Linked DNA regions of Lepisosteus oculatus. The protein of the gene in region 1 interacts with the protein of each later gene in a pairwise test. Links are inferred from orthologs where the notes say so. Each region holds a gene or a part of one and is shown on either strand. Other genes may lie near its edges.

What was found.
Region 2: the proteins of akap9 (region 1) and pkn1a interact in a two-hybrid assay, tested with the Homo sapiens proteins (2 studies listed by BioGRID). The link is inferred for Lepisosteus oculatus from reciprocal best matches to the Homo sapiens genes AKAP9 and PKN1.

Annotation. Positions count from the first base shown.
Region 1 is NC_090705.1:5,248,829-5,264,746, forward strand, and holds the start of akap9 (A-kinase anchor protein 9), read right to left. Parts: upstream 8,093-15,918; 5' UTR 7,901-8,092; coding exon 7,853-7,900; intron 1-7,852. Other genes in the region: transcription termination factor 1, mitochondrial, read left to right, coding at 15,835-15,918. UniProt on the Homo sapiens protein: Scaffolding protein that assembles several protein kinases and phosphatases on the centrosome and Golgi apparatus. Required to maintain the integrity of the Golgi apparatus. Required for microtubule nucleation at the cis-side of the Golgi apparatus.
Region 2 is NC_090706.1:13,877,088-13,892,557, reverse strand, and holds the start of pkn1a (serine/threonine-protein kinase N1), read left to right. Parts: upstream 1-7,193; 5' UTR 7,194-7,658; coding exon 7,659-7,799; intron 7,800-8,311; coding exon 8,312-8,612; intron 8,613-9,672; coding exon 9,673-9,818; intron 9,819-9,955; coding exon 9,956-10,079; intron 10,080-12,117; coding exon 12,118-12,263; intron 12,264-12,888; coding exon 12,889-13,102; intron 13,103-14,571; coding exon 14,572-14,766; intron 14,767-15,470. UniProt on the Homo sapiens protein: PKC-related serine/threonine-protein kinase involved in various processes such as regulation of the intermediate filaments of the actin cytoskeleton, cell migration, tumor cell invasion and transcription regulation.

The DNA.
Region 1 (15,918 bases):
TATTTATTGTACTTATCAATACCACCAATGCCATTTATAACTTAAAAAATTAAGTGTTTTCTTTTCATTATATAAACCCTAGTAACTGTCTGAAAACAAGAACACAGCCAGAGAAACAAGAGGAGGGTCTCTGGCCCATCCAGCTAATTTGATTCCTAGTTGCTAATTGATCTGAGTGTCTCATTCAGCCTTTCCCAAGGAGAAGCCAAGGTACCTGCTTCAACAACATGGTTGGAAGGCTGATTCCAGACTCCCACAACTCTTTGTGTAAAAATGTGCCGCCTTAAAGAAAACATTTACATGTTTTGGATATGACAAAATTCAATTTCCAATCATAATATTCTATAAAATAACACTATTTAAGTAATGAATTAATGAATTACCTCCTCAGTTGATGTTGAAGCATCTGTACTTCTAGTTGCATTGAGCTCAGCTTGTATTTCAGGGGCAGTTAGTTGCCAGTTTCGCAGACCTGTGACACTGATGAACGTATTCTCTAATTCTGAGGTCACCTTAAGCCTACCTGACCTTCTTCGGTCCTTATGAGTGCCAATTTCTTCATATCATTTGATAGTCTTGGCCACAGCAGATACTGACACTTGCAAAGTTCTAGCAATTTGTCTTAAAGATTGACCTTCATTATAAAGTAATTATAGACTGTCTTTTTTCCTTGCTTGCCGAGTAATTTTTGCCATGTTCCTTCAGGAATTAAAACTTTTGCCCATGCTCCCTATTTTTATAGTCATCGTGGACCCTCAACTGTTTATCAATAATTGGTGACAAAAGGTAAATGAGGTAACATGCAAGTTAACTGTGAGAACATCTAACAAAGATTATTTTAAACTTCTTTTAGTGTTCTAACACCATGTTATACACATTTCTGACTTTTTACTAACCTGGGCTTCAGACTGAAATCTGCTTGCTTTGGGTGTTCATTTTATTGAAAATGAATAATTAAAATTTTCAATGCAGTTCATTTAAGATTATAGGTACACATATCACGTAATTAAATGATTAAGTGTTTATAGAGTTTATACAGTTTTAAGCACAGATAATCATGAATAACCTGGTTTCAAGCAGGTGCACTCAAACGTTTGACTGGTAATGTACATAGTGTACTTTGTTTAAAAAGTAGTTATGGCGAGGACAAGCTGCAGAAGGGATTAACCATCTTTTTAAAAAAACTAGATGATTTACTTTTAATAAACACCTTAAACAGCTGTCACTGAGGTCGTGGCATTTCTTGATCGGTCTCAAATTGTATTCTTGATTTTAAAAAGAGACATGAAAAGACCTCCACATGGAAGACACATTGCAGGCCTTAAAAAAAAGTTTCAGTTTCAGTTTTTAATATCCTGCAGGATACAAGATACAAGTCCACCGATCCATCCATTTTCAAACCACTTTATGCAATCCAGGGTGGCAGGAGAGCTTGAACCGATATTGGTAAGCAACAGGCGCAAGGCAGGATACACCTTGGACAGGAGGCCAGTATATCACAGGGCACACACAGACACAAACACACACACAGCTTGTCTTTGGACTGTGGGAGGAAACTGGAGCCCCCAGTGGAAAATGGGGAGAATATACAAACTCCACACACACAGCCCTCCAGGAACTGAACAAAGGCTGGGAGTGCTGGGAGGCAGCAGTGGTCACCAATGCAGCACCGTGCTGCCCCACTGACAAAGACACCCCAGGGAATTCCTTCCAGATTAAATGTGAAGAAGTCACCAAGCACGTGTATTTTAGGACTGGAAAAAGGAAATGAGATTCTTTATACAAAGATTTGTGCATGTCAATGCACAAAAGGGCCTGGGATCCTTCAAGGCTGGATAAGATTCTCAGATCAACAAGTTACTTGCAACAGAATATGCAAAATGGGTTTAATGGCTTCTCACTTAAAATACCTCACTTTTCCGTTTTCACCATACATGGGCTAGATATTGGTTAATTAATAAATTATCTCCTTTCACACTTTAAATAGATAAAAATACATGTTCTTCACGACTAAACAACTTACAAAACAGATTGCTGCCCAAACATAAAAGTAAAGATTTACATTACAAAAAATACACTTGTTCCCCAAAAAATAGCCATACAGAGAAGGAGACATTAAATTTGAAACAGAATGAACACACTGCAGTGAATAACTTAGCAAAGGAGTTAAAATGTACAGCACAAGGGCCTACATTATTCATAAAACAATCATAAGTAGGGGCTATAAAAAACAAATATCTGACGCTTTAGAAAGAAAATGCATGGATGACATTGTATAATCCTGAAATCGTAAGTTTCCTGAATGTCCAAAGTAACTTCTGCCAACAGTGCAATGTTAGGACTCTTTAAACTACATGGAACAAACTACCTCACAAAATCTGGCAAGGCTACCCAAACTGTACCGCAAGACCAAGGGCTGTTTGTGGGGAAAGATGAATGACCTCACAGTCAGTGATAAAAGTAATTCCAAGGGAAAACAGTAAACTGATTCACTCAGGGTCAGCCTTTAACAGTAGGATCAAGCGTGGGTTCAGTTAAGACAATGGATGCTACAATAGCAACTGTTCCTTAAAATAAGCAAATATATATGGAATCACATTGTTATGTCTGAGAGCATACCACCAAGCACCCTATTGTAAAAAGGTAAAACCCTGACTGACATTATTTACATGAACTACCCCCTTATCTTGTTTATCCCGTTACTGCAACAGAATTGTTCAAAGAAATCTCATTTAATACAACAGTTGAAGAATGAAACAACAATATCAAAGATTATGAATGATTACATGAATCAATAAAATAAGGAGTATAAATCACAAGTGGAAAAGGCCAGATTACACTGTTTATTATTTCTTAATGGTCTGGGCATTTATTTAAAAGACTAAGGTACTCAAGTGGCAATTTTTAAAACAGTTCATGATCTCAGTCTTCGTGGTTTTTTGAAGGTGGTCAGTGTGTCATCTCCAACAACATGGCTGAGTAGCTTGTTCCATACTCCCACAACCACTAAGGCTGTGTTGAAGGTGACAACCCTCGTGACATACTTCTTCACTACAAATTCATTACGTATTTGCCTTGTAATTCAATCGAACCCTTAAAATGCCCATTACATGGTTCATACAACTTCTCAACAGACCAACAGAATGCCATTATTATGCTCTGAGAGAAATGTGAGATTTACTGGATGGTGCTGGAAAACATGATGCCACTGTTTCTTTTGACTATTATTGAGTCTTTATGCGCCGTTATATATTGTTTTATCAACCACTACATTCGTTGATGGTCTTTTCCTGAAATCCACTGCATTTGTGTGACTTTTTGTAAGGCTGTGCTCACCAAGGAGCAACATTTTATTTCCAAATCTAAAGCTGACCGGCTGTGCAGGCAGCTCTCTTTAGACAGTCTGCAACAAACCCAGAATGCACAGCGGCTACTTACAGAATACATACGCAATAGGTGATTCAGCATCTCACCACAGGGGAACACTCTCTTTCTGAAGATATCAAAAACAAAAGACGCCCACGTTTATCCTATGGATATTCACAATTTGGTAGATGTACAGGGCCTCTCCCCACCGAAAAGGTCTTCATCTGCATTGTTAATGCATGTAGCCACACAGACTTTGTCTCTGATAATAATAATTTACAATATCACTACTGCTTAGCAAGCAGACAAGACCTAAAACCTAGTGACACACACAGGAAAAACACCCATTTGCCTGCAGAATGACTGAATTAATAATCACTGATTAAAGGCAGAGTACAATATTCAATATTCAGTTATAAAAAGCCATGGGCAATGTATTTTTACATCATGCAAATCTAAACCACTATGCATTACACTGCATCTGGAATTGTAAAGATCTGAAGGTTTTTTCTGTGAGTTTGGGCTTAACAGCTTGCAAAATTGCCTATATTTGTCAGTAAACAGCATGATACAAAAATAACACACTGATGAGTATGTAATCATAGCAGCCTGTTTTCCAAATCATTGTAACAATTTATTGGCGCTTTTACAGTATAAGAAATTAAAATAAGTATAAAGACATTGCTGTGCCATAGTTCTGAAAACTAAGCAAGGAAAATGTGGAGAAATTTTATTTTAGGCAATATATCTTTCACGTAGTTAAAGATATGAACACTGAAATTAAAAATAAATACATATTTTAATGTTATACTATTTTAACAACAATATTCCATGGGAAATGAAACCTAATAACTTATTTCCTAGTTTTTACTGAATTGCAAGCTCTCTGATCTTTTCCTGCTCTACTGCATTTATTTTTGTATACAGAACAGAATACGATTCAGTTTCTTCAGCATGTCTTCTCTTCTTAGCACACAAGAGCAAGGCTTCATGGAAAACCCAGGACATCCTGGTTGAAAGAATCTGCTTCTGCCTGTAAAGCACTGAGCAGTGAATACAGTACGTGCCTTAATCTCACAAGGAAGGGAGTGGCATAAAATCTCATGTATTGAATAATACACCCAGTCATGCACTAACATCGCTGTGTTCCACGTGCTCGGTTCATTGACTAAATAACACTCTAAACTCTCTGCAAAAGCATGCAGCTTTAATTCGATCTGCTTAGTTACAGCAGGCCCAAAACATTTCATAAAGCAGTTAACTAACTTTAGGGTCACTCTAATTCTTGGCCTACAGTGGCGTTCAATTTATTCAAATCCAGTCATCGCACCTTAGGTGACTCACACCTGAGTTTTAATGGAGCCTACAGTATGTGCACACACCACATACTGTACATTGTTCTTTTTAAGAGACACCAAACATTTAGGAGATGATGTCGGTAGTCAAGCACACTTCAGGCTCAGACCTGCGGATCGAGCTCACAACTCCGAGAGTGGAATGAATCTGTTCCCTGCCTTGAACACTCAATACCCTTGTTCTCCCAAATAGACATGGGATGGCCCACTTCACACTGCAACATACAGGGCTCTCTTGTGTTCAAGATAAGCTTACTGTATATATCAGTTAGACCTGCCTGAAGGTTTTGGGAAACTGGAAAAACCATTCAGGACTTTATAATCATAATAATAATTGCTTACACTTATATAGCTCTTTTCTGGACACTCCACTCAAAGCGCTTTACAGGTAATGGGGACCCCCCTCCGCCACCACCAGTGTGCAGCCCCACCTGGATGATGCGACGGCAGCCATAGTGCACCAGAACGCTCCCCACACATCAGCTATCAGTGGGGAGGAGAGCAGAGTAATGGAGCTAATTCATAGCTGGGGATTATTGGGAGGCCATGATTGGGAAGGGCCAATGGGAAATTTGGCCAGGACACAGGGGTTACACCCCTACCCTTTTCAAGAAACACCCTGGGATTTTTAATGACCAAAGAGAGTCAGGACCTCGGTTTTACGTCTCATCTGAAGGACAGCGCCTGTTAACAGTATAGTGTCCCCTGTCACTATACTGGGGCATAAGGACCCACATGGACCGCAGGGTGAGCGCCCCCTGCTGGCTCCACTAACACCTCTTCCAGCAGCAACCTTAGTTTTTTCCAGGAGGTCTCCCATCCAGGTACTGACCAGGCTCACACTGCTGAGCTTCAGTGGGGCTGTCAGTTTTAAGTTGCAGAGTGATATGGCTGCTTCGAAACAAAAATACAACAGACTCGCCTTTTATGCTAAATATTTTTACCCGAATTCGTATTTACGTGGTGGGAGATGAAAAAAATGAATGGAAAATCAAATAATGCAGGGAATTTAGCAAATTCACATCTGGTGTGACATGTGTGGTGTGGTGTGGTGTGGCGTGGCCAAGTAGATACTGAGGCTCCAGCAAATTGAGATTTTGAACAAGTTTAGGGGTGGGACGATGGTGACCTGTTTGGGGCGTAAGTATGGCAAGAATGAAGCTTCAATTCTTGCAATGAGAGGCAGAAGACTTTTCGTCCGCTATGTTCCCTGCATTTAAATATCAAATTTTATTTGATCTATTTTGTATACTGTACAGTAATGTATTGACTGTATTACTGTTTTCATAATACCTTAAGCTACATACATACACATACAAATACACCTGCAATTGGTTGCAGGGAGGGGAACAGTGGGGTCTTAGGGAGATGCTCTAGTTATACATGATTTTGGGTATACAGTAGGCACTATGTCAGGAAGCCAAAATGTCATTTACTGTATATAATCACTTCCTGAATATCAAAGTACTACCCAAAAAGGCTTTTGGTTTTAATAATAAACCCAAATTATCAGCAATGTCTTTTGTCTTGAACAGAACATGTTTCCAAAAGATACCCAAAATCGTCAAGCCTAATATAAAAGCTGCTTGCATAGCACTAAAGTATTAACAACCCTATGCGTTAGCTGGGAACTAACAGCATATAGTAAAATCACCAATAAAGTCCAGTGACACTCTGGACACATTAACACTGTAAACCTAGCAGAAGGATGTTCCCCTGCTGATGCATGGCTGTTTCACTGCGGGGCAGAGCGCAGCATAACTGGAAGGTTGTGGGTTCATACTCCTGACGAGACACTGCTGTCAGCGACTCACTAACACAACATCGGGAGAAGCAAATTGGTTTTCACAAGGATTTAGGCTCTCGGACACAACATATATCAGATGATTTCACACTGAATTTCATCTTACAAGGTGAACAGAGTGCATCCGGGTGAGGCTTTTAATAAATGAGTGAAAATGTTAGTCTCCTACTACTGATAAGAACCTTTACTACAAAGGAAATAAATTCAGGGGGAGGACCTAAAACCTACTGTATTCTCATTCGTCAGACAAAATTGTAAAGGAGACAACAATTATGAGTTTGCAAAGGCCATGCCCACAGAAACTAAAAGTGATCCCATTGAAGAGATAATATGACCAGAATGAGCCTACGTAACACTTGCACTCTTCTGCCCTGCTCATACTGTATTTTTAGGTGCCACGGGATAAGGGTCTGGTCTATTTTTAAACTGCTGTATCTTTGTCATCACCCTCACACACACATATGAACTTGGGCAGAAACATTTCACTGTTGCATGAAACCCCAGCCTTTTCAAGAGCACTGTTAATAAAATGGGCCGATATATTCTCACCTGTGCAGACTTCTGATTTCTGGAACGTTTTGCTTATTTCATTTAATAACAAGATTTCAGCTACAGTGTGTTTCGGGTGCAGCAACTTGTATTACAAACTACTGTACATATAAAAATAAAATGAACAGTAACATCAACAGTGCGGATATACATTATTACACTATTTTATCATTGATAGGTCAACGTAATTATTTATAGAAAAATATAAATGAGCGTTAAAAAAACAGTGAAAACCTAAGCACTTTGTCTTAATTATAATGTGCTAACTCACTGAATCCTGCTGATTGAAGAAACGCAGTAACCAATGTGATGTAGAGCCATTCAGTGCCGTATCTTACAGCGATGACAAGTTCAACGATGTGAAGGCATGCTTCTCACAAATCTTGTTCAGCAGGAATCTCGGGATTGTCTTTTTTTTTTAAACCGATCCAAGACAGTCCAGTCATGTCATGATCAGTCCGACACACAATCCGCGTTTTCCCCGACAGCAAGCGTACGTGAAACTTACACGCCACTTTTCAAAGCTTCACTACAACAAAGACAACCAAGGCAAAAGTGAAGCTGTCAGTCGGAGTTGCAGTGTTAAGGACAGCTGACAGATACACTGCAGCAATACGGGGCCTGAGCTGTAGCTACAGTAGATCAATGAAATAGTTACTAAATTACTGCCGGTTACACTGCGCAGTGTTACAACTGAAAACAACTAGCCGGCCTAACGACACGAAATCATTTCTGAGCACACTGTCCTCACAATAGCGCATTCCCTCAGATGTCATACCTTCGCTTTGCCGGCCTCCAGCTTCTTCTGTCTCTCTTCGTCTTCCATTACGGTCGTTCCTGGGCCCAGGAAGAGGAGATTAAGGCTTCACACAAAGTGTCAGTTAAAAGGGTCAGAGCCGGTCTAACGAACTGACCACGTACTGGCATGTAAGGCTTCTTCTGCAGCTCCTAGCAAATACACTGTGCAAAAAACGTGTAGAGGACTCTCCGTTACTGGCTCGCCTCGGCCGCCATATTCAATACCACGTAAACACAGGGACCGCTGGTGATGACGTTCCTGAAGGTGCCTGCTTGCGATTCACGCCTCCAGGAAAAAAAAAAAATAACTCGAGGAGGGGTTTAGTTTAAGGTGGCAGCAGGTAAGGAATTTGCGTTTTGTAAAAAGATGAAAATTAAAAGTTGAGATCATTCACTTGGGCGTGCGGTATGTGCTTCGGCTATATTTCGGTGAGCAGGCTTCCGAGTCGGTTAAACTTTGGTATCACTTCTAAGATGTATAAATTTGCTCTAAATATGGTCTAATCAATATTTCTGTGAACGACAGCTCTTTATTATTCTTTGTTTGATTTGGTGGTTATTTACTGTAAATAAAGTTAAATACGAAATGAAGTATTTTCAGTAACAACATTTAATTATTTTTCCTATTATACTAATGTGTTATATGATTTATTGGGAGTAAAGATGTAATGCAATGCAATACTGTGCTGTACAATGAAATGCAGTATTCTTGTATGGTGATGTTGGGCAATGTTGCAATATTATAACTTCAATGAACCGATAATTCATTAAAAAAAACATAATTCTTGGAAGCACATTTTAAATGAATAGACACCTGTGGCTGGCAAGCAGACTGCTGATGGATCAAATTACTGTCTCGATAAGGCCCTCAACTCCGTTAAAACGTCTAATTGTATTAGTATTGCAACCTCAGTTTTCAATACTTTTTTATATCTTGTGCGATTCTAATGTAGCCAAACACTTAGTATCATACCCTCCAAGCAATCACCAAGCAATATGGACAAAAAAGCTAAGACAATAAAATGCAAAGCTAAACACCTGATGCGACCTTTGTTTAAATGCACTGGGGGGACATTTCACAATTCCTGAGGTTTATACAATAAATAGACTACGTACCTGCAGGAGAAGGTGGCCTCTGTCTCCGGACCACTGGGGTTGTACAGCTGATAGTCTGGCTGATCTTTAATTCCACCCATCTTCGCTTGGACATTTTTAGGTGTCTGTAGCAAGATGCGTCTCTCTTCTTTCTGAGGGCTCTGCGGCTGTGAGGCTACAGCTCTGGGACTCCAGACCATCAGAAAGTTTAGGGCATTAATAATTGACGTGACAGGAGTACTGTGTCAGCCACCGTAACTTAAGCACATACTGTAGGTCTGAGGCCATAATGAACTTATAAGAGGAACATGTCTAATTGACATAAAATTTGCTCCACAGTACCAAGTGTGTCTTTTTTTTAAATGAAGCCACAATGGAAAAGTACTTGTATCACAATGTAAAATGTAGTACACAAATTGTGGCAAACTCAGTTTCAGTTTTGTAGGAGGGTTATTCTTGCTAATCGAGGATTTTTGGTCATGCCCTGTATTTGTAGTACTGTACATGCGTTTTAAGGTGCTTTAGTGATAAGTATACATGCTTAAGGAATTTATTCAATAAGAGGAAAAGTAATATGATCCTGAAACATAGTCGATGCTGCATTCAATTAGATTTAACGCTTTGGAAAAATATTGCACTTAAATATTTTGATCTGAACCTGTAAATCCCCTGAAAAGAAGACATAGGACTAATGACTCCTTATATACAAGAACAATCTGAATGAACAAAAGTTCTGCCGCAGACCTGATGCAGAGAAGAGGGCTCTAACTCCACTGACTGTTCTGTCTGAGAAGCAATGAATGTCAGGTTCCACTGTCCCCAGTCACACTTCATCTCAGAGAATGGCCTTTGAGCACTGTATGAGAAAGCAAACTGTTTTAAATACAATACATGAGAAAGGAATGGCTGTATCAGGTTCCCAGCTCACTGCTGTTTAGCATCCTTCCAGTCTGATGGTGAATCTGTAAGTGATATTGATCTACATCCGGTAGCAGCTGCTTCAGAAGACACAGCTCTCTGAACAGAAATAAAAAAACAGTTGTTTAATTTGTTTATTAGTCAAGATGAAAAAGCACCTTGGGCTAGAATTTCTGTCAATCTCTCAAGTTACTGAGAGATTTTCAATGAGAAAAGTTCTGTAGCAGTCATTCAATTGAAACTTTTGGTAAAGGAGTTTCTCAGCCATTTGGGATTTGGGCTACTGTACCCCTGTTGGAACCTGACATACTTCTTCGAGTGATCAAGGAATGGATGATCTTCTCAATCTCACCTTTTTCATGAAAACTGCTCATCTGTAAATCTCTCTGGAAGCCGATCAGACATTCCTACTAAACACAGCAGAAGAAAAGGCAATATAACATATCTTGAACTTTGAACTTGAACTTGAACTTTATTGCCATATGTAACCGGTACTGGTACAATGGAATTCTTACTTACAGAAAGTCTCTCGATTGTAAAACAAGTGTAAAAAACAAAACAAAGTGCAAACAGTGCATCAAGACAATGTACAAACAAACAATAGACAATGTGCAAGTAAACATGTAGACAGTTTGAATGTAAACAATACAGACGTGAAAACAATGACTGGAGATGTGCAATAGATAAGAAATCATAAAGAGGTAGATGGTGATGGTGTAGGTGTGGTCCGAGGGGGATGGCTAAATGCGTTCGCCAGTCTCACTGCTTGTGGATAGAAGCTATTGAAGAATCTAGTGGTAAGTGTCCGTATGCTCTTATATCTCTTGCCTGAGGGCAGTGGGGTGAAGAGCTCATGCCCGGGGTGGTGACTGTCCTCTGTGATGGCCAGAATTCTACCACGGCAGCGCTCCTCATAGAGCTGTTTTATCTCGGTGAGACCGCAGCCGATGATCTTCTGGGCCATATTGACCATTCTCTGCAGTGCAATTTGTAGCGACAGACTGAAAAATGACACTCAGATTTTAGTTATAAATAAACTGAGGCTGTATCAAATGCAACAAATGATACACAAAGGAGGAAGAGTGGAATGGTAGTTAACATTGAGTCTTGGGGAAACTGAGTGGGTTTTCTCAGGTCACGAAAGACATGCCAATCAGGTTAATTGGATTCTCTAAACTGCCCCTTGTATGCGAGTGTGCCCTGTGATAGACTGGTATCCCATCCAGGGTGTGGGCCTGCCCTGTGTCCTGAGCCTGCCAGCTGAGGCTCAGGATCACAACGGATCAAGTGGCCACTGCAAATGAATCAATAAGCAAAGCAGTAATTAAGAGAAGCAGCCAATATAAAATGGGTATTGTTGGCATAGTCTAATCTTAAATGCAGGGACAGCTAATGGAATTCAAGAGTGACAGCTGGATGTCATGATGAAACCAGAGAAGGAGAATAAATAAACAGCAGAGGGCTGTTAGTGCCGAAACATGAGAGTGTCTAACATTCACAGTTGTATCCATGCATTTGATGGTGTCAAAAAATAAATGGAATCTATTCAGGTGAATAATAAATACATTCCAAAATTACAATATGACTGATCTGTAAAGTAAATAATACCCTGCCATTGAAAATACTAAAGTAAATTATACCTTTCTTAATCAACTACCTCTCTGTAATGAATAATGAATTGTATAATGAATATAAAATAACAGAACAAAATGATTTGGTTGTATAGCACAGTCTTGTCTTAAAATGTGGATAGAATGTTGTCAACAGATTTCCTGTTGTCATCAGGTTGTAGGTCCTGGAGATGAAGAAATGGGGGTTTAGACAGGTGTCTTAATTAATAATAATAATTAATATTAATAATTGCTTATACTTATATAGCGGTTTTCTGGACACTCCACTCAAAGCACTTTACAGGTAATGGGGTCTCCCCTCCACCACCACCAATGTGCAGCATCCACCAAAGTCTTAACTGGTTATGCCTTTCAGGAGGATCCCCTCTTTAGCCTGACAGGGGTGCAGTGAGCAAGGAGCTTCATTTCAGACAGCATAGGCCGCAAGGCAAGATCACACCTTGGATGAAGTCTGATAGACCCCTGAGCCAGTATCTAGCTCATGAATGTGACATGGTGAAGTGACTGTGGTTAATACTATTCCTGAGATTTTTCTAAATGGGTTAGTCTTATTTTCCTTGGTTTGTTGTGGAACTGTACTATAGCTTGATATGACAGTAATCCATACACTCTAATGAAGATTTGCAGGCAGACATGTCACCTCTCTGTGCCACCAAAAACAGGTTGTGTCATTTGACTCTGTGTGACGGTGCTGTGGCATTTAATTAATTGTTCTGGAGGTACATAACAACCAGTGTTTGCTTAGTCTTTAAAAATGCCATTCTGTGCGAAGAAAGATGTCTGTGAACAATGAGGACTGTATGTCTTAGCTCTGCCCTGCAGTGACGTTTGGGGTGACAGCGAAGGGTTCTGTTCCTTCTGGCCCTGGGGAAACAGACAGCAGCGAGTTAAATGGAGCCCACCGTCCAACATGACAATAGCAGCTACATTACCAGTGTTGTTTATGGTTTAGGGGAGGTCTGTGGCCGAGCAATCCTTAGTCACCTTCGACAGAAGACCTGTACTACAATAACAGTAATTAAACTTAAATTACTGCTGTCCGTGGAGAAAGAACAATGAAAAATGTGTGCATGTGAGGCATTGGAAATATTTAAAAGTACACTTCTACTGGGCAGCATTTCGATGGCATACTGACAGAAACATTTCCTTTTTCGCACTGCTACAAATCTCCCCCTATTGTGAGGCCAATTTTCCTTCTCCTTCCTCGTGTTACGGAACAAAAAAAAACGTTTTTCGATCTTTGAAAAACATGGTGTGGGGACATGCACTCCGTCTCTTCTGGTTCATTTTCTAAATGTAATTGCAACACTTCATGTGTGCTAGAATACGTGACTCAATATTTATATGAAGGATAATATGATTAAAGCAATTATTAACATGCGCCATTTCTGCCCCGTGTCTGGGCGACCAGTTGATGCCATCTAGTGGTCACAGGTCATTGCGACTCCGTAGCGGGAATGCGATCCCTTCAGGACTGCAGAGGGCGCCAGCAAATGCGTTCAATCAGAAATAACCGCTGTTGCAGGACACTTCTCTTGCCGTGCTAGTTCTATTACAAACAGCGGAAATGACCTGTGAAAAGGGTAAGGGAAGAGGTTGACTAGAATGGTGTGCTTTTCAATGAAAGCAAGTGTTTTGTTGCGTAGCAACAGAATTGAAATGTGTAACTCAGTATAACCTTGCATACCAGTTAGCCTTGCTTGGGACAATAGTAATATCGAGTTATTTTCCTGTTTGTGGGTTAATATATTAATTAAAAACAAAGGACCCGGTGAAAAAAGATGCACTGTACACTAGTGGCAGTGCAGGCTGCGGCAGTACTTTACCCAAAAGGCTTGTGTTAGTGACGTGTTTCTTATATGAATTGGCACGTTTTCCAGTATATTTTATTTGCATTTGATTTTACACTTCCTAGAATAAACGGTTCAGTGTTATAAGATAATTGAATATGAAACACGACAAATTATGAGACTGCAGCGCGAATCTGCTTCCGCATGAGGCGATGAAAGTCTCTGACGTCACGGCCATTGGTATCATCAATTATACGCTTTGCTGGTGTGTCTTGTTCACAATTATTACCTTTAAAAGTACTACACTTACATATTCTTTAGGTGTTTGGATCGTAGGTCTGCTTTACGCGAAATCCCATTGCTCACGACCTTAACCTTTGTTCCAGAGTGCTGGATTCTCATTCTCAATTATAACATGTTGTTTATATTAAACTTCTAACGATTATCAGGCATGAAAACACATCTGTTACTGCTAATAATGTTTTGGGGGGTATTTAAACATCAGATGAGCCTATCGTTCCAAGATCAATTTTCATGACAAGAAGAAATTACCTTTATCTGTTAAATTAATGTTACATTTAGAGCATCTGAATTCCATTCAGATAATTAAGATTACAGATAGATAATGTTTTTGTCATTTGTAAAAATAACGAATGTAGTGTTTTTGGTAATATCAGCTTTGATTTTATTGTTCTGTATTTGGAAAATGTTTATTAAGAATGTATAACCGCACTCCCGCAGCCTTTGGGTAACGACGTGACTCCTGTTTTTAAATGCTCTTCCACGTAGCTGCTACTTGTGACCTCTGACCTCTGGCTTATTCCTAAGACATCCGGGTAGACGTTGAGGCTTTTCGATACTGGTATCAGTTGCCCTTGCTAACGTTTCTGATAAAAAAACTATAAAAGTCCCTTCAGCCTGTCAGCGGAAGTTGTCTGTATTTTACCCCAGGAATTTTGAGAGGATGAGAATAGTGTTTTTTTCAATTTGTTCAGATCTTATATGCCCAATGAAAGTTTTATTTTTTTAAAGTTTTATTTTATTTTTTTTAGACTGCTGCTGGCTTACCTGTCATCACCCATCATCTCTGCAGAAAATGCATACCCGAGCTCAGTGTGAATCCAGGACAGGAGGGATTGTGGGGGGGATTGTCTAATTCCTCAGTACACCATTGGCCAGGGCAGCTCTAGCTGGGAAATACAAGCCTTGCTGTCTGCTGGTGCACACACCTGGTTCAGCAATGACTCCAAGGCCCAGTGGTAAAGTATAGATACTAAATGCAGGCTAAGCAGGAATAGTACAGCCCCCTGCTTTAGCTGATAACACATACGGTACCTACTGTGTAAGATACAGATTTGTGTGCAGGCGAGCTAGTATGTGCTTTGTCATGTTTCTTCGCGTAATATACAGGAGTTTGATCACACTCTAGGAAAAATATCGACTAATTTATTTGTAATTAGTAAGTTATTGTACCTTGCGCAAGGGTACGACAGCCATGCTTATCCCCAGAACTGAACCTGCAACCTTCCATCTATAAATCTAATCCTAGCCAGAGCTTTACACTGCTGCCTCTGAGTGCCAGGTAATAAGGGCAGTTTATTTTTAATCACCAGCAAAATCCCAAAACGGGCTGATGGAATTATTCTATCCCTGTGAACATTCATACTTCTATTTTTTAGGATACATAGTATTGTGCTATTAGTGCATTAGTGACCTAATGTGACACATAGTGTAATTAAAAATGGAGGCTTGTTTATTGAATTTCTACATCTTATTGTCACAACGGTTAGCCCATATTCTCAAAAATGTGTTTATATATAATACCTGTGTTTGTTTCTATCTAGGCACTGATAAAACATGGCAGTGATTCACTTGCTCTGAGCTTGAATATATAGAATGGGAACTATATAGAGATTTAGGGCAGTGAATCAGGGAGGCTGAAGTCTTTTGTTGTGCTTCTCAAGATTACCATTAGACCTCCCCGAATATGTTAGGCAAATCGGTTGGTTAAATATTTAAGCAGAGCAAACAAGATTTCCATCAAGGTAAACAGTAAATTCAAGCTGCAGGGATGTGCTAATGTGCCTCACAATGAACAGTTCTTCAGTCCCAGCCAGGGCTGTGAGGGGAAAGATTGTTTAGTGTGTTGTGTGTGTCTCGGAGACAGCACTTCACACACTAGTTTACAAGTAATGTATTAAGACCTCTAACTTCTGCCCTTTCATATTCTAAAACTCACCTACATATTTCCTAATCTGTGATTAAGATATTTGAACGGTGCCTGCAAGCCTTGTTTAAGAAGGGCTTTATTCTTCTAAGCATTAACATTATTGCATTATAATTATGAATTTGCATGATCCAAAAAAGCAACATCAGTGAAAGTTAAATAAAATCTGCATTATCCCCAGCTTTGTTACAGAGCAGTTGTAAGTCCATTTGAATGTTTTAGTGTTATAAATAAATAGCAACGAACCATACAGAACACTAACTTTCCTTTCCATTCCCCCCTCCAGGCTCCTGAATATTGCATGACGCCTTTGATTTGTGAGATGGTGCTGTCCAGCATCACAGGCATGCTGCACTGCACTTTGGGGCGAGCTGTGCTGGGTCTC
Region 2 (15,470 bases), on another chromosome or scaffold:
ACAGTAGCAGTGTGTGTGTGTGCTGCTGTACGATAGCAGTGTGTGTGTCTGTGTGTGTCTGTGTGTGCGTGCTGCTGTCCAGTAGCAGTGTGTGTCTGTGTGTGCGTGCTGCTGTCCAGTAGCAGTGTGTGTGTCTGTGTGTGTGTGTGCTGCTGTCCAGTAGCAGTGTGTGTGTGTGTGTGCTGCTGTCCAGTAGCAGTGTGTGTGTCTGTGTGTGTGTGTGCTGCTGTTCAGTAGCAGTGTGTGTGTCTGTGTGTGTGTGCTGCTGTCCAGTAGCAGTGTGTGTCTCTCTGTCCAGTACACAAGCCCGCCCTTGTGAGATCAGTGCTGTGTGATTCGGGAGAGCCGGGCCGGTCCTGCACACGGCCCCCTGACAGACTGCCTCTCCAGCCCTGCAGTGGCGTCTGCTCTCCCCCGTGTGCTCTGAGCGCAGTGGAGTCAGGCGGAGGGCCGGCCCGTGGGGCTGCTGCCTTTCTCAGGGCCCCGGCCTCCCAGATGAAGCACCATCTCGCGGGCCAGCTCTCCTCCACACACTGGGACTGGGACAGGGATCCGCCCCCAGCCCCCGGCACTGTGAGGGGCGGCCAGGGCAGCTGGCTCGAGGGCAGCGCCTGCGCGAGGGGAGTGTCGGGGTGTCAGAGTGCAGGCAGGATCCCATGACCATGTGTGTGTGAGAGAGTGAGTGTGTGTGTAGCGCTGTGAGTGTGTGTGTGAGAGTGAGTGTGTGTGTGAGAGTGAGTGTGTGTGAGAGAGTGAGCGTGTGTGTAGCGCTGTGAGTGTGTGTGAGAGAGTGAGCGTGTGTGTAGCGCTATGAGTGTGTGTGAGAGAGTGAGTGTGTGTGTAGCGCTATGAGTGTGTGAGAGAGTGAGTGTGTGTGAGAGAGTGAGCGTGTGTGTGTAGCGCTGTGAGTGTGTGTGTAGCGCTGTGAGTGTGTGTGTAGCGCTATGAGTGTGTGTGAGAGGGTGAATGTGTGTGTAGCGCTATGAGTGTGTGAGAGGGTGAGTGTGTGTGTGAGAGAGTGAGTGTGTGTGCAGCGCTATGTGTATGTGTGAGAGAGTGAGCGTGTGTGTAGTGCTGAGTGTGTGTGAAAGAGTGAGCGTGTGTGTAGCGCTATGAGTGTGTGTGTGAGAGAGTGAGTGTGTGTGTAGCGCTATGAGTGTGTGTGTGAGAGAGTGAGCGTGTGTGAGAGAGTGTATGTGAGAGGGTGAGTGTGTGTGTAGCGCTATGAGTGTGTAGCGCTATGAGCGTGTGTGTGAGAGTGAGCGTGTGAGAGAGTGTGTGTGTAGCGCTGAGTGTGTGTGAGAGAGTTAGCGTGTGTGTAGCGCTATGAGTGTGTGTGTGTATGAGAGAATGGGAGAATGAGTGTGTTTACGAGAGAGTGAGGGTGTGTAGTGCTATGAGTGTGTGTGAGATTCAGCGTGTGTGTACGAGAATGTGTAAGTGTGTGTTTCAGAACGGTGAGACAGGTCTAAAGCAACAACAATTAGACCATATCTATACTATTACTATTAACAGATCTAACAGATTACTATTGTGTTATTATTATGCTCTCTGTTCTTCAGGCTGTAACAGGTGATCACATACCTGGCTTCTGCTCTGTTGAGTTTCCTCTTCTAGCAGGACCGGGAGCTGTTCTGATTCTGGCAGGTGGGGGAATTCTGGGATCAGGTTTATTTTATGGAAGAATGTTTGTCTAATTTGTTTGTCACACTGCAGCAGAAAGTGGATCTCTGTCTCTGCTTATCCCCGCTGGCAGTAGGAGCACAGCCTGTCATCTCCGGACAGCCAGGTCTGCCTGTGTCCAGTTTCTGTGGCCAGGCTGTGGTCACTGAGCCTGTCCTCTCTGGACAATCAGGTCTGCCTGTGTCCAGTTACTATGGCCAGGCTGTGGTCACTGAGCCTGTCCTCTCTGGACAGCCATGTCTGCCTGTGTCCAGTTACTACGGCCAGGCTGTGGTCACTGAGCCTGTCCTCTCTGGACAGCCAGGTCTGCCTGTGTCCAGTTTCTGTGGCCAGGCTGTGGTCACTGAGCCTGTCCTCTCTGGACAATCAGGTCGGCCTGTGTCCAGTTACTATGGCTAGGCTGTGGTCACTGAGCCTGTCCTCTCTGGACATCCAGGTTTGTCTGTGTCCAGTTTCTGTGGGCAGGCTGTGGTCACTGAGCCTGTCCTCTCTGGACAGCCAGGTCTGCCTGTGTCCAGTTTCTATGGCCAGGCTGTGGTCACTGAGCCTGTCCTCTCTGGACAGCCTGGTCTGCCTGTGTCCAGTTTCTGTGGCCTGGCTGTGGTCACTGAGTCTGTCCTCTCTGGACAATCAGGTCTGCCTGTGTCCAGTTACTATGGCCAGGCTGTGGTCACTGAGCCTGTCCTCTCTGGACAGCCAGGTTTGCCTGTGTCCAGTTTCTGTGGCCAGGCTGTGGTCACTGAGCCTGTCCTCTCTGGACAATCAGGTCTGCCTGTGTCCAGTTACTATGGCCTGGCTGTGGTCACTGAGCCTGTCCTCTCCGGACAGCCAGGTCTGCCTGTGTCCAGTTACTATGGCCAGGCTGTGGTCACTGAGCCTGTCCTCTCTGGACAGCCAGGTTTGCCTGTGTCCAGTTTCTGTGGCCAGGCTGTGGTCACTGAGCCTGTCCTCTCTGGACAGCCAGGTCTGCCTGTGTCCAGTTTCTGTGGCCAGGCTGTGGTCACTGAGCCTGTCCTCTCTGGACAATCAGGTCTGCCTGTGTCCAGTTACTATGGCCAGGCTGTGGTCACTGAGCCTGTCCTCTCTGGACAGCCATGTCTGCCTGTGTCCAGTTACTACGGCCAGGCTGTGGTCACTGAGCCTGTCCTCTCTGGACAGCCAGGTCTGCCTGTGTCCAGTTTCTGTGGCCAGCCTAGTATCATTGAGCCTGTCCTCTCTGGACAGCCCAGCCAGGTCTGCCTGTGTCCAGTTTCTGTGGCCAGGCTGTGGTCACTGAGCCTGTCCTCTCTGGACAATCAGGTCGGCCTGTGTCCAGTTACTATGGCTAGGCTGTGGTCACTGAGCCTGTCCTCTCTGGACATCCAGGTTTGTCTGTGTCCAGTTTCTGTGGGCAGGCTGTGGTCACTGAGCCTGTCCTCTCTGGACAGCCAGGTCTGCCTGTGTCCAGTTTCTATGGCCAGGCTGTGGTCACTGAGCCTGTCCTCTCTGGACAGCCTGGTCTGCCTGTGTCCAGTTTCTGTGGCCTGGCTGTGGTCACTGAGTCTGTCCTCTCTGGACAATCAGGTCTGCCTGTGTCCAGTTACTATGGCCAGGCTGTGGTCACTGAGCCTGTCCTCTCTGGACAGCCAGGTTTGCCTGTGTCCAGTTTCTGTGGCCAGGCTGTGGTCACTGAGCCTGTCCTCTCTGGACAATCAGGTCTGCCTGTGTCCAGTTACTATGGCCTGGCTGTGGTCACTGAGCCTGTCCTCTCCGGACAGCCAGGTCTGCCTGTGTCCAGTTACTATGGCCAGGCTGTGGTCACTGAGCCTGTCCTCTCTGGACAGCCAGGTTTGCCTGTGTCCAGTTTCTGTGGCCAGGCTGTGGTCACTGAGCCTGTCCTCTCTGGACAGCCAGGTCTGCCTGTGTCCAGTTTCTATGGCCAGGCTGTGGTCACTGAGCCTGTCCTCTATGGACAGCCATGTCTGCCTGTGTCCAGTTACTACGGCCAGGCTGTGGTCACTGAGCCTGTCCTCTATGGACAATCAGGTCTGTCTGTGTCCAGTTTTTGTGGCCAGGCTGTAATTACTGACTCCATACTGGTCCACCACTCACAGCAGATCCCAGTGCTGACCAGGCCTGGTGTGTGTGTGTGAGAGAGAGAGGGAGGGCTCCAGCCTCGTCTGAGGCAGTCCACCAGGAGCAGAGGTGTGTGTGTGTGAGAGAGGGCTCCAGCCTCGTCTGAGCCAGTCCAGCGGGGCTGAGGGTGCTGCTGTCTCTTTAAGAGCGGCGATGAGCGATCAGTCCCCCGGCTGTGGCGTGCTCTGTGGCCTGAGAGAGAGAGGGAGGGAGCGAGCGTGGAGCCCCGAGCGGACGCGTGCCCACGTAGGGACACAGCAGGCATGGATGGGGATCACTGTGAGTGTAGGTACCCTGCCACGCCGACGGGCCGACCGGCCGGGGGGGGAGTGGGGTCGGCGGGCCAGGTGCTCTCGTTTCCTCCGGCCCGGCTCTCTCTGCTGCTCCCGGCGCGCGGCAGCAGGAAGTGCTCCGCTGTGCGCTGGCGGTTCCACTTCCGCAGAGGCTCGCAGACGACTCGGGGTCCTCTGCAGACGGGGGGACCGGACCCGGGTCTGGCCTTGGGGGGGCGTCGCTTGGGGGATGGGTGAGGGCAGCGGTGCCCGCTGACCTGCCTCGGCAGCGCTCTGTGGGCAGAGTTCCTCTCCTGCTGTTCGAGGACGGACGTCCCTTCTCTTCTGATCGCCTCATTGGTGAAGCCCCTCTGCCTGCCCTTCCTCTCTTGCTGCGGCACGCAGAGCAGCGCAGGAGCAGACAAGCTCCTGCAGCTCTCAGAATAGATCTCCTCGCTCTCCGAACTTTCTCTTCTGCAGTGTAGCAATCAGCATGTGGTCCGCTGTTGAAATGCTGGCCGACAGACACTGATGACTGGCAACGATATTAACTGCAACTGACAGGCTGATACAGCAGACTGACTGACTGACTGACACAGGGGCCTGCCGACTGTGACTGACTGACTCACTGACACAGGGGCCTGCCAACTGTGACTGACTGACTGACAGACACAGGGGCCTGCCGACTGTGACTGACTGACTCACTGACACAGGGGCCTGCCGACTGTGACTGACTGACTCACTGACACAGGGGCCTGCCGACTGTGACTGACTGACTGACTGACTGACTGACACAGAGGCCTGCCGACTGTGACTGACTGACTCACTGACTGACTCACTGACTGACTCACTGACTGACTGACTGACTGACACAGGGGCCTGCCGACTGTGACTGACTGACTGACTGACTGACTGACACAGGGGCCTGCCGACTGTGACTGACTGACTGACACAGGGGCCTGCCGACTGTGACTGACTGACTGACACAGGGGCCTGCCGACTGTGACTGACTGACTGACACAGGGGCCTGCCGACTGTGACTGACTGACTGACACAGGGGCCTGCCGACTGTGACTGACTGACTCACTGACACAGGGGCCTGCTGACAAACACAGGCAGGGGTTGACACAGGGACTGGCTGAGCTGACAAACAGCTTAAGCACAAGCGGTGCTCGAGCTTGGCGACGTCTCTCGGCCCATGCCCGTTCGCCAGCGGTGATGCATTGGAGCCCATTGATCTTGCGGCCTGTTCCCCGCGTCTCTGCTCCGGCTTCTCGTTCCTGCTCTGAAGCGCGTCGTGTTTCAGCGGCCAGTTCCCTCTTCTCGGTTCCCAGTTTCCCCTCCGGTCTGCGTGCGTCCGGATTGAGGAAGGGGGCGGAGAGCTGGGGCGCTAGCAGACGCGGGCGGCCCGCTCGGACCCTGCAGTGGTGGCCGGGAGGGGGAGGCAGCCATGGGGGCAAGAGAGCAAGAGAGATGCCGCCACACGTCCGTGCGCGTGGCGTATGGGCAGCAGGAGCGCCCCGGCTGAGCCGAGCCCCCCGCGTGCCGGTCTGACGTCTCCCCCCCCACCCCCACCACTGCGTTTTCAGAAGCGAGAGACGAGCGTAGCGTCTCGACCTCTCGCCTCCCGGAGCCAGTGACAGCAGGAAGGAAGCTGTGTGGCTGAGCTTGCAACACGTACCAGCTCAGTCACTCTCTCTCTCTGCCTGCCGTCCCTCCATCAGCAGTTAGAGAACAGGAAGTCCCCGGGTGGGGCTGGCGCAGATTATTTCTCTGTTTCTCGCGCGGCAGCTCGGGACCTTGTGCTCTTTATTTTGTTCCAAGTTTCGCCTGTTTTTTTTTGTCCTCCCTCCCCTGCACATCCAGTCCGGGTGGGAGCGGCCAGTGCCGCGTGCCGGCGAGGGAGGGGTGGGGGGAGGCCTGGGAGCGTGGGATTGTGGGACTCCAGCGATGTCCAGCGAGGAGGGCCCGGGGCCCGGGCCGCGGGCGGAGGAGAGCGCGGCCGACGCTCCGGAGATCGAGACCGCGGTAGGGCAGCTCGGCCCCGCGGCCGCCGGCGCTCCAGTGTCCGTTGGCTGACGTCGCGGTTTTCGGTTTCTCGCCGCCGTCCCTCTCGTTCTCTTGCTCCGCTCCTGTGTCGGCCACTCCCATCTCCCCGCCGGGGCCCCGTGTGTGTGTGTGTGGCCCCGCGTGGCCCCGGGCCTCAGCCTCCAGGGACGGGGCTGACCTGTGTGTGTGCGATGGGGGAGGGGAGAGGAGGGTGCTGTCAGGACGGCCAGGCGCAGGCTCGGCACCGCGCAGGGATCACTTCCATCCTAATCTGTTTATTTTTCTTTCTGATTCAATTGTCATCGATTTGAGAGGTCAACAGGCTTCAGTTTTCCAGAGAGTTGTCATCCTGAATGTGTCTCATTACTATGTGACTCATTAGTTGTTATATGAACTCGTACTTGTTAAACCCAGTGCTAATCTGCTGAGAGCAGGAATAGATAGCAGCCTCGCATGTCTCCTCCTGACATCACAGAGCACAGGCCGGACTGGACTGACTGTACTGTGAGCTGGATTAGTTACTAACTGAGATTATAATCAGACTCACACTGACCGAGCAGTCTGAGACTCTCCAGGGCAGGACTGGACTGACTGTACTGTGAGCTGGATTAGTTACTAACTGAGATTATAATCAGACTCACACTGACCGAGCAGTCTGAGACTCTCCAGGGCAGGACTGGACTGACTGTACTGTGAGCTGGATTAGTTACTAACTGAGATTATAATCAGACTCACACTGACCGAGCAGTCTGAGACTCTCCAGGGCTGGACTGGATTTACTGTACTGTGAGCTGGATTAGTTAATAACGAATTAACAGAGAGAACTCTCCTACTATCAGAGCATTTGGTGACAGGCTCGAGGGGATGTAGTCAAATCCCTTCCACACCCCCTACTTCCAATACATGTACTGTTTGGCATAGGGTTCTGTTTCCGCCCGGACTTCGCTGGCTCAGATCTGGGCTATCCTAAGGGTCCTGACACTTAGACAGATCTGCTGAGCGTGCTCTGAGGCAGCCTGTGAGTTTGCAGTGTACTTGCCACCTCTCTGTCTGCCCTCTGTGGTTCATGGAGCGACAGAGGAGCGGCATGCCTCTTCATGCTCACTTAGGAGGATCTGGAATGTTGTGAGAAATATCAGGAAAAACGGATTTCAGTTTTTCAGGCATCAGGTTACACAATAGACAAAGGCATTATTGCGGTGTGGTTCTGTACAGTTGCAATAAAATTATGTAAATGAAGGAGGAAACTTTCAGCGCAGAACCAAAGCTGTGCTGCGTGGAGAGAGAGGAGACCAGATCTTCTGTAGACATGGGCGTCTTGCGAGTCACATGACCAGTGACCTCACACTCACAGAGCTCCTCCTGATGGGCTGAACGCAAGACATGTTTCACAGCACAGAAGTCAGGTTTGCTCTAGGAAACATGGGAAGAGCAGATGGACACGCTGCCTTCTGGGTGTCCCCCAAAGCGGAGGTGTGGAAACAATAACTGGCGAAGTTTTTAGAGTTTCAGAAACGCTGTCCTGTCTGCTCTCGGAGGATGCAGAAGGCAGGGGCTTTCCAATCCAGCCTGGGTCAGAGAGAGTGCAGCGTCCGTCTCTATAAAGAAACAGAATCCTTTATTCTGCAGCAGTCTTGCAGCCCGGTGCTGCTCTCGGAAGGCCTATGGAGGAAACAGGAAGTGAGTCAGTCTGCGCTGCAGGCCGAGGGCTGATGGGCCCCTGCAGGGATTTAGACCAGACTGTCTTCTGTAGTTTGTGTTTGCGCTGTGTCTCTGGGAAGAGTGTTCAGGGGGCACAAGAGTGAACTGTAGACAGTGACGGAGCTCTGTCCCTGTCTTGCTCTTTCTCTGTTTCTGCCTTCCTCCCCCACAAGCCTTTTCTGTTCTGTCCCACAATCCCTCTCTCTGTGGACATGGCTGTCAGCTGCTTCCCTGCTTCTTTCCTCCTAGCTCTCTCCCTCCTCTCTCCCTCTCTTTACCCCTTTCTCCTCCTTCTCCCTCCCTCTCTTCTCCCTGTCCCTTTGTCTCCTGCATCTTTCCCTGCTTTCTCCCTCTCTCCAACCCTCTCCTCCCTCTCTCTTTCCCTGAGTGACATGTGGACAGAGGTGTGTTGTCAGTTTCGCAGCAGCTGAGCTCTCTTGCCTTCTCCCTCAGTCTCTCACAATACCTCCTCCTCTCCTGCTCTCTTACAGAGTGATCCAGCGGGCCTGTCGGTTCTGGAGCAGCTGGGCCTGGACCAGAATGCGGACTTCTCGGACACCAGCGTGCAGCAGCGCCTGGACGAGGAGCGGGAGCGAATTCGACGGGAGATCCGTCGGGAGCTGAAGATCAAGGAAGGGGCGGAGAATCTTCGGCGGGCCACCACGGACAAGCGCAACCTGCAGAGCGTGGACACCATGTTGAAGAGCTCCAACCGCCGCCTGGACGAGCTGCACGCACAGCTGCAGGAGCTGGACGCACACATCGTCGTCAAGGGCCCTGACGAGATCAGAGGTAACAGCAGCACTGCGCTGAGACAGAGCTCAGTGAGCGAGTGTGCCATCAGAGCTCCGCGACCGAGTGTGCCGTCAGAGCTCAGTGTCAGAGCTCTGTGACCAAATGTGCCGTCAGAGCTCAGTGTCAGAGCTCTGTGACCAAATGTGCCGTCAGAGCTCAGTGTCAGAGCTCTGTGACCGAGTGTGCCGTCAGAGCTCAGTGTCAGAGCTCTGTGACCAAGTGTGCCGTCAGAGCTCAGTGTCAGAGCTCTGTAACCAAGTGTGCCATCAGAGCTCAGTATCAGAGCTCTGTGACCGAGTGTGCCGTCAGAGCTCTGTGACCGAGTGTGCCGTCAGAGCTCTGTGACCGAGTGTGCCGTCAGAGCTCTGTGACCGAGTGTGCCGTCAGAGCTCAGTGTCAGAGCTCTGTGACCGAGTGTGCCGTCAGAGCTCGGTGTCAGAGCTCTGTGACCGAGTGTGCCGTCAGAACTCAGTGTCAGAGCTCTGTGACCGAGTGTGCCGTCAGAACTCAGTGTCAGAGCTCTGTGACCGAGTGTGCCGTCAGAACTCAGTGTCAGAGCTCTGTGACCGAGTGTGCCGTCAGAGCTCGGTGTCAGAGCTCTGTGACCGAGTGTGCCGTCAGAGCTCAGTGTCAGAGCTCTGTGACCGAGTGTGCCGTCAGAACTCAGTGTCAGAGCTCTGTGACCGAGTGTGCCGTCAGAGCTCGGTGTCAGAGCTCTGTGACCGAGTGTGCCGTCAGAGCTCAGTGTCAGAGCTCTGTGACCGAGTGTGCCGTCAGAGCTCGGTGTCAGAGCTCTGTGACCGAGTGTGCCGTCAGAGCTCTGTGACCGAGTGTGCCGTCGGAGCTCTGCGAGCGACGGTGCCATTGGAGCGCAGTGACGGAGCGTACCATGGGAGCGCAGTGACGGAGCGCAGTGTCAGAGCAAGGCACAGTGACAAAGTGGTATAGTGCAGTGACAAAGCAGGCAGCACAGTAACAGAGCACAGAGCACAGTGACAGTGAAGCCCTGGTGCACTGTCGGAACTGTGTAAGAGACAAGCTGTTTGTCTGTTCCCAGATGCCCCTCAGTCACCTGGTACAGTGAGCCGCTCCTCTGCCAACCAAGACCGCATCGCCGCTCTGGAGAAGCAGCTCAACATCGAGCTGAAGGTCAAGCAGGGGGCAGAAAACATGATTCACATGTACTCCAACGGCTCCACCAAGGTATGGCTCTCCAGCACTCTCTCTCTTTCCTTCCTGGTGCTCTCATGTAGACTCTGCCACCGTAGACTCGCTCTGCCCTTCTTTAGTTCAGACACATTTCAGGCCTTCGTGCTTCCCTCTCCCTCTCTCTGCTCCAGGACCGGAAGCTCCTCCAGACGGCACAGCAGATGCTGCAGGATAGCAAGACCAAGATCGACATCATCCGCATGCAGATCCGCAAGGCAGTGCAGGCCAACGAGCTGGACACCGAGGACAGCCAGGGTCAGTCTGTGTCTCTGTCTGTCTCTATCACTGTCTGATGAGCTGGACACTGAGGACAGCCAGGGTTAGTCTGTGTCACTGTCTGATGAGCTGGACACTGAGGACAGCCAGGGTCAGTCTGTGTCACTGTCTGTATCACTGTCTGATGAGCTGGACACCGAGGACAGCCAGGGTCAGTCTGTGTCTCTGTCTGTATCACTGTCCGATGAGCTGGACACTGAGGACAGCCAGGGTCAGTCTGTATCTCTGTCTGTATCACTGTCTGATGAGCTGGACACTGAGGACAGCCAGGGTCAGTCTGTGTCACTGTCTGATGAGCTGGACACTGAGGACAGCCAGGGTCAGTCTGTGTCTCTGTCTGTATCACTGTCTGATGAGCTGGACACCGAGGACAGCCAGGGTCAGTCTGTGTCTCTGTCTGTATCACTGTCTGATGAGCTGGACACTGAGGACAGCCAGGGTCAGTCTGTGTCTCTGTCTGTATCACTGTCTGATGAGCTGGACACTGAGGACAGCCAGGGTCAGTCTGTGTCTCTGTCTATATCACTGTCTGATGAGCTGGACACCGAGGACAGCCAGGGTCAGTCTGTGTCTCTGTCTGATGAGCTGAACACCGAGGACAGCCAGGGTCAGTCTGTGTCTCTGTCTGTCTCTATCACTGTCTGATGAGCTGGACACTGAGGACAGCCAGGGTCAGTCTGTGTCTCTGTCTGTATCACTGTCTGATGAGCTGGACACTGAGGACAGCCAGGGTCAGTCTGTGTCTCTGTCTGTATCACTGTCTGATGAGCTGGACACTGAGGACAGCCAGGGTCAGTCCAGTGTCGGTCTGATGAGCTGGAAACTGAGTCAGGGTCAGTCCACTGGGAAGCAGCTGAGGAAGCCGCGATGCCCACCGCTGTTGCTTTCCCTCCTGTATTCGCCCAGATACAGACAGGAAAAGAGCACAGGAGATTGATCAGTGCTGTCATCAAGAGAGCACTCACAGAGCCATCCCAGAGCCTTTTACGTGACCATTAGCCCTCATTAAGAGCTCGTTAAAGGGCCAAAGGGACCAGGGGTAGTGCTGATTTGCTGAGACATCCGTCTCCAGCACGCATCAGGAGTGATGCCCAGCTATCGACCGCCGGCCCAGGCCGCTGCCGGCCACTTAGATGGAGCTGCAAATCAATCCACCCCCCCCCCCAACAGAGGGGTCAGCAGAGCCCCCGGGGCCGCACAGGGTCGGGCCAGAGCGAGGCGAGACGCGAGCTGATGCCATGGTCTCCGCAGAGAGAGACGCCAGCCGTGCCGTCCCTGCGTGTCTGTGAGCTGCCTGTCCTGTCACAGCTCGGCTCGGGGAAACGCTTATTGATACGGCTGCTCCGATCCAGAGACATTAAGGAATCGCCAGAACGTCAACACAGAACAGCAGCAGCGGCAGCAACACCGGGCTCAATAACATACAGCCTTAGAAAAGCAAGCCGGCACCAGCAGTGTGAGAAGAGACAGAGCAGATCAGTGAGAGCAGTGATGTCGATGAGTTTAGTCAGAGGCAGCGGTGGAGTTCAGCAATCTGACAGCTCCTGTTCCCGCTCCTGTCGCTGTGGCCTGTGCTCCCAGGTTCTGGGGAGAGAGAGAGAGGGAGGGAGGGGAGGGAGGACCACAGCCTGGGGGGTCCGGGTTATTTCTGGATACTGTACTCGGAGCGTGGCAGTGTTTACTCACACTCGCCCCGGCGCACTGCTGTGTGTGCTGCGCTGAACCCGAGCTGTAAGACGCTGTCTGTGAGCCGCTGGGGCATCTGGCTGGCTGCTCCTGGCCTTTTTAGGAGAGGACGGCGTTCATCCCCAGACGCAGCCCTGACGCGCACACACACACACACACGAAGGGAGGCTGTCGCCAAGCTCTCCGGCAGGGTTGGCGAAGCACCATTTTCCAAGGAGGCTTTGCGTCCTTGTGCGGCTGGGTCACCCCGTCGGCTCTGTGCGGCCCCTCCCCACCTGCACTCTCCCCTCTTCACCGCGGCGCGGGCCTGACCCCCCTCTCCCTCACGCAGGGAAGCCTGACCTCTCGGCGGTGGAGCTGCGGATCGAGGAGCTGCGCCATCATTACCGCGTGGAGCACGCCGTGGTCGAGGGCGCCAAGAACGTGCAGAGGCTGCTGGGAGCGTGCAAGGCTCACGACAAGAAGGCCATGCTGGAGGTACAGCTGGGACCCACACCCGCTCGGTCCCGCGCAGACGCTGGGACCCACACCCGCTCGGTCCCGCGCAGACGCTGGGACCCACACCCGCTCGGTCCCGCGCAGACGCTGGGACCCACACCCGCTCGGTCCCGCGCAGACGCTGGGACCCACACCCGCTCGGTCCCGCGCAGACGCTGGGACCCACACCCGCTCGGTCCCGCGCAGACGCTGGGACCCACACCCGCTCGGTCCCGCGCAGACGCTGGGACCCACACCCGCACGGTCCCGCGCAGACGCTGGGACCCACACCCGCTCGGTCCCGCGCAGACGCTGGGACCCACACCCGCACGGTCCCGCGCAGACGCTGGGACCCACACCCGCACGGTCCCGCGCGGACGCTGGGACCCACACCCGCACGGTCCCGCGCGGACGCTGGGACCCACACCCGCACGGTCCCGCGCGGACGCTGGGACCCACACCCGCACGGTCCCGCGCGGACGCTCGGCCCGACTGATACCCTCTTGCGGGCCCAGTCCCGGCTCGGTCCTTCCCTGTCCCAGGCCTGCTCCAGCTCGGTTTTCCCCTTGTCCCATGCCCAGTCCTGGCTCGGTTCAGTGCTGAGCTTTCGACTGCTCTTTGCCAGGCCCAGACAAAGCTCAGCGAGTCTTCCCAGCGGATGGACCTCCTGCGCCATTCCCTGGAGCAGCGGCTGACCGAGCTGCCGGAGGATCATCCCAAGAGCTTCCTGATCAAGGAGGAGCTGGTACTGGACTCCTCCCCGGCCTTCAGCGCCCGGCAGTGCGGCCCCTACCTGCAGAACCAGTACAGCACACTGAGCAAGCCCTCACCCCTCACAGGTAACTGATGCCTGCTGTCGGTCACTCTGTCTCTCTGGGCTCAGGGACTCTGGAGGTGCTGGGTGGGGTGTCACTGTGTCTCTGGGTGGGGTGTCAGTGTGTCTCTCTGTGCGCAGGGACTCTGGAGGTGCTGGGTGAGGTGTCACTGTGTCTCTGGGTGGGGTGTCAGTGTCTCTGTGCGCAGGGACTCTGGAGGTGCTGGGTGGGGTGTCACTGTGTCTGTGGGTGGGGTGTCACTGTGTCTCTGGGTGGGGTGTCAGTGTGTCTCTCTGTGTGCAGGGACTCTGGAGGTGCTGGGTGGGGTGTCACTGTGTCTGTGGGTGGGGTGTCACTGTGTCTCTGGGTGGGGTGTCAGTGTGTCTCTCTGTGCGCAGGGACTCTGGAGGTGCAGGGTGAGGTGTCACTGTGTCTGTGGGTGGGGTGTCACTGTGTCTCTCTGTGCGCAGGGACTCTGGAGGTGCAGGGTGAGGTGTCACTGTGTCTCTGGGTGGGGTGTCACTGTGTCTCTCTGGGCTCAGGGACTCTGGAGGTGCTGGGTGGGGTGTCACTGTGTCTCTCTGGGCTCAGGGACTCTGGAGGTGCTGGGTGGGGTGTCACTGTGTCTCTCTGGGCTCAGGGACTCTGGAGGTGCTGGGTGGGGTGTCACTGTGTCTCTGGGTGGGGTGTCAGTGTGTCTCTCTGTGCGCAGGGACTCTGGAGGTGCTGGGTGGGGTGTCACTGTGTCTCTGGGTGGGGTGTCACTGTGTCTCTCTGTGTGCAGGGACTCTGGAGGTGCTGGGTGGGGTGTCACTGTGTCTCTGGGTGGGGTGTCACTGTGTCTCTCTGTGTGCAGGGACTCTGGAGGTGCTGGGTGGGGTGTCACTGTGTCTCTGGGTGGGGTGTCACTGTGTCTCTCTGTGCGCAGGGACTCTGGAGGTGCTGGGTGGGGTGTCACTGTGTCTCTGGGTGGGGTGTCACTGTGTCTCTGGGTGGGGTGTCAGTGTGTCTCTCTGTGTGCAGGGACTCTGGAGGTGCTGGGTGGGGTGTCACTGTGTCTCTGGGTGGGGTGTCAGTGTCTCTGTGTGCAGGGACTCTGGAGGTGCTGGGTGGGGTGTCACTGTGTCTGTGGGTGGGGTGTCACTGTGTCTCTCTGTGTGCAGGGACTCTGGAGGTGCTGGGTGGGGTGTCACTGTGTCTCTCGGTGGGGTGTCACTGTGTCTCTGGGTGGGGTGTCACTGTGTCTCTCTGTGCGCAGGGACTCTGGAGGTGCTGGGTGGGGTGTCACTGTGTCTGTGGGTGGGGTGTCACTGTGTCTCTGTGCGCAGGGACTCTGGAGGTGCTGGGTGGGGTGTCACTGTGTCTGTGGGTGGGGTGTCACTGTGTCTCTGGGTGGGGTGTCACTGTGTCTCTCTGTGCGCAGGGACTCTGGAGGTGCTGGGTGGGGTGTCACTGTGTCTGTGGGTGGGGTGTCACTGTGTCTCTGTGCGCAGGGACTCTGGAGGTGCGTCTGCTGGGCTGTGTGGGGCTGCTGGAGGTGGTGCCAGGACGAGCCCGAGGCACCGCCGTGGTGCTGCCATCGTACAGTCCCGGCGAGGGCAGGTCCTTCATGCGCAGCGGGAAAGGACTGTACGGCCGCAGCGGAAGTGTGAGCGGGAGAACACCAAGCAAGACTGACGAGCTGTCCAGTGAGTCTGTCCCAGTGTCTGTCTGTACACCCGGCAAGACTGACGAGCTGTCCCGTGAGTCTGTCTGTCTGTCTGTACACCCGGCAAGACTGACGAGCTGTCCCGTGAGTCTGTCTGTCTGTCTGTCTGTCTGTCTGTACACCCGGCCAGACTGACGAGCTGTCCCGTGAGTCTGTCTGTCTGTCTGTCTGTACACCCAGCAAGACTGACGAGCTGTCCAGTGAGTCTGTCCCAGTGTCTGTCTGTACACCCGGCAAGACTGACGAGCTGTCCAGTGAGTCTGTCCCGGTGTCTGTCTGTATACCCAGCCAGACTGACGAGCTGTCCAGTGAGTCTGTCCCAGTGTCTGTCTGTACACCCAGCAAGACTGACGAGCTGTCCAGTGAGTCTGTCCCAGTGTCTGTCTGTACACCCAGCAAGACTGACGAGCTGTCCCGTGAGTCTGTCCCAGTGTCTGTCTGTACACCCAGCAAGACTGACGAGCTGTCCCGTGAGTCTGTCCCAGTGTCTGTCTGTACACCCGGCAAGACTGACGAGCTGTCCAGTGAGTCTGTCCCAGTGTCTGTCTGTACACCCGGCCAGACTGACGAGCTGTCCAGTGAGTCTGTCCCAGTGTCTGTCTGTACACCCAGCAAGACTGACGAGCTGTCCAGTGAGTCTGTCCCCGTGTCTGTCTGTACACCCAGCAAGACTGACGAGCTGTC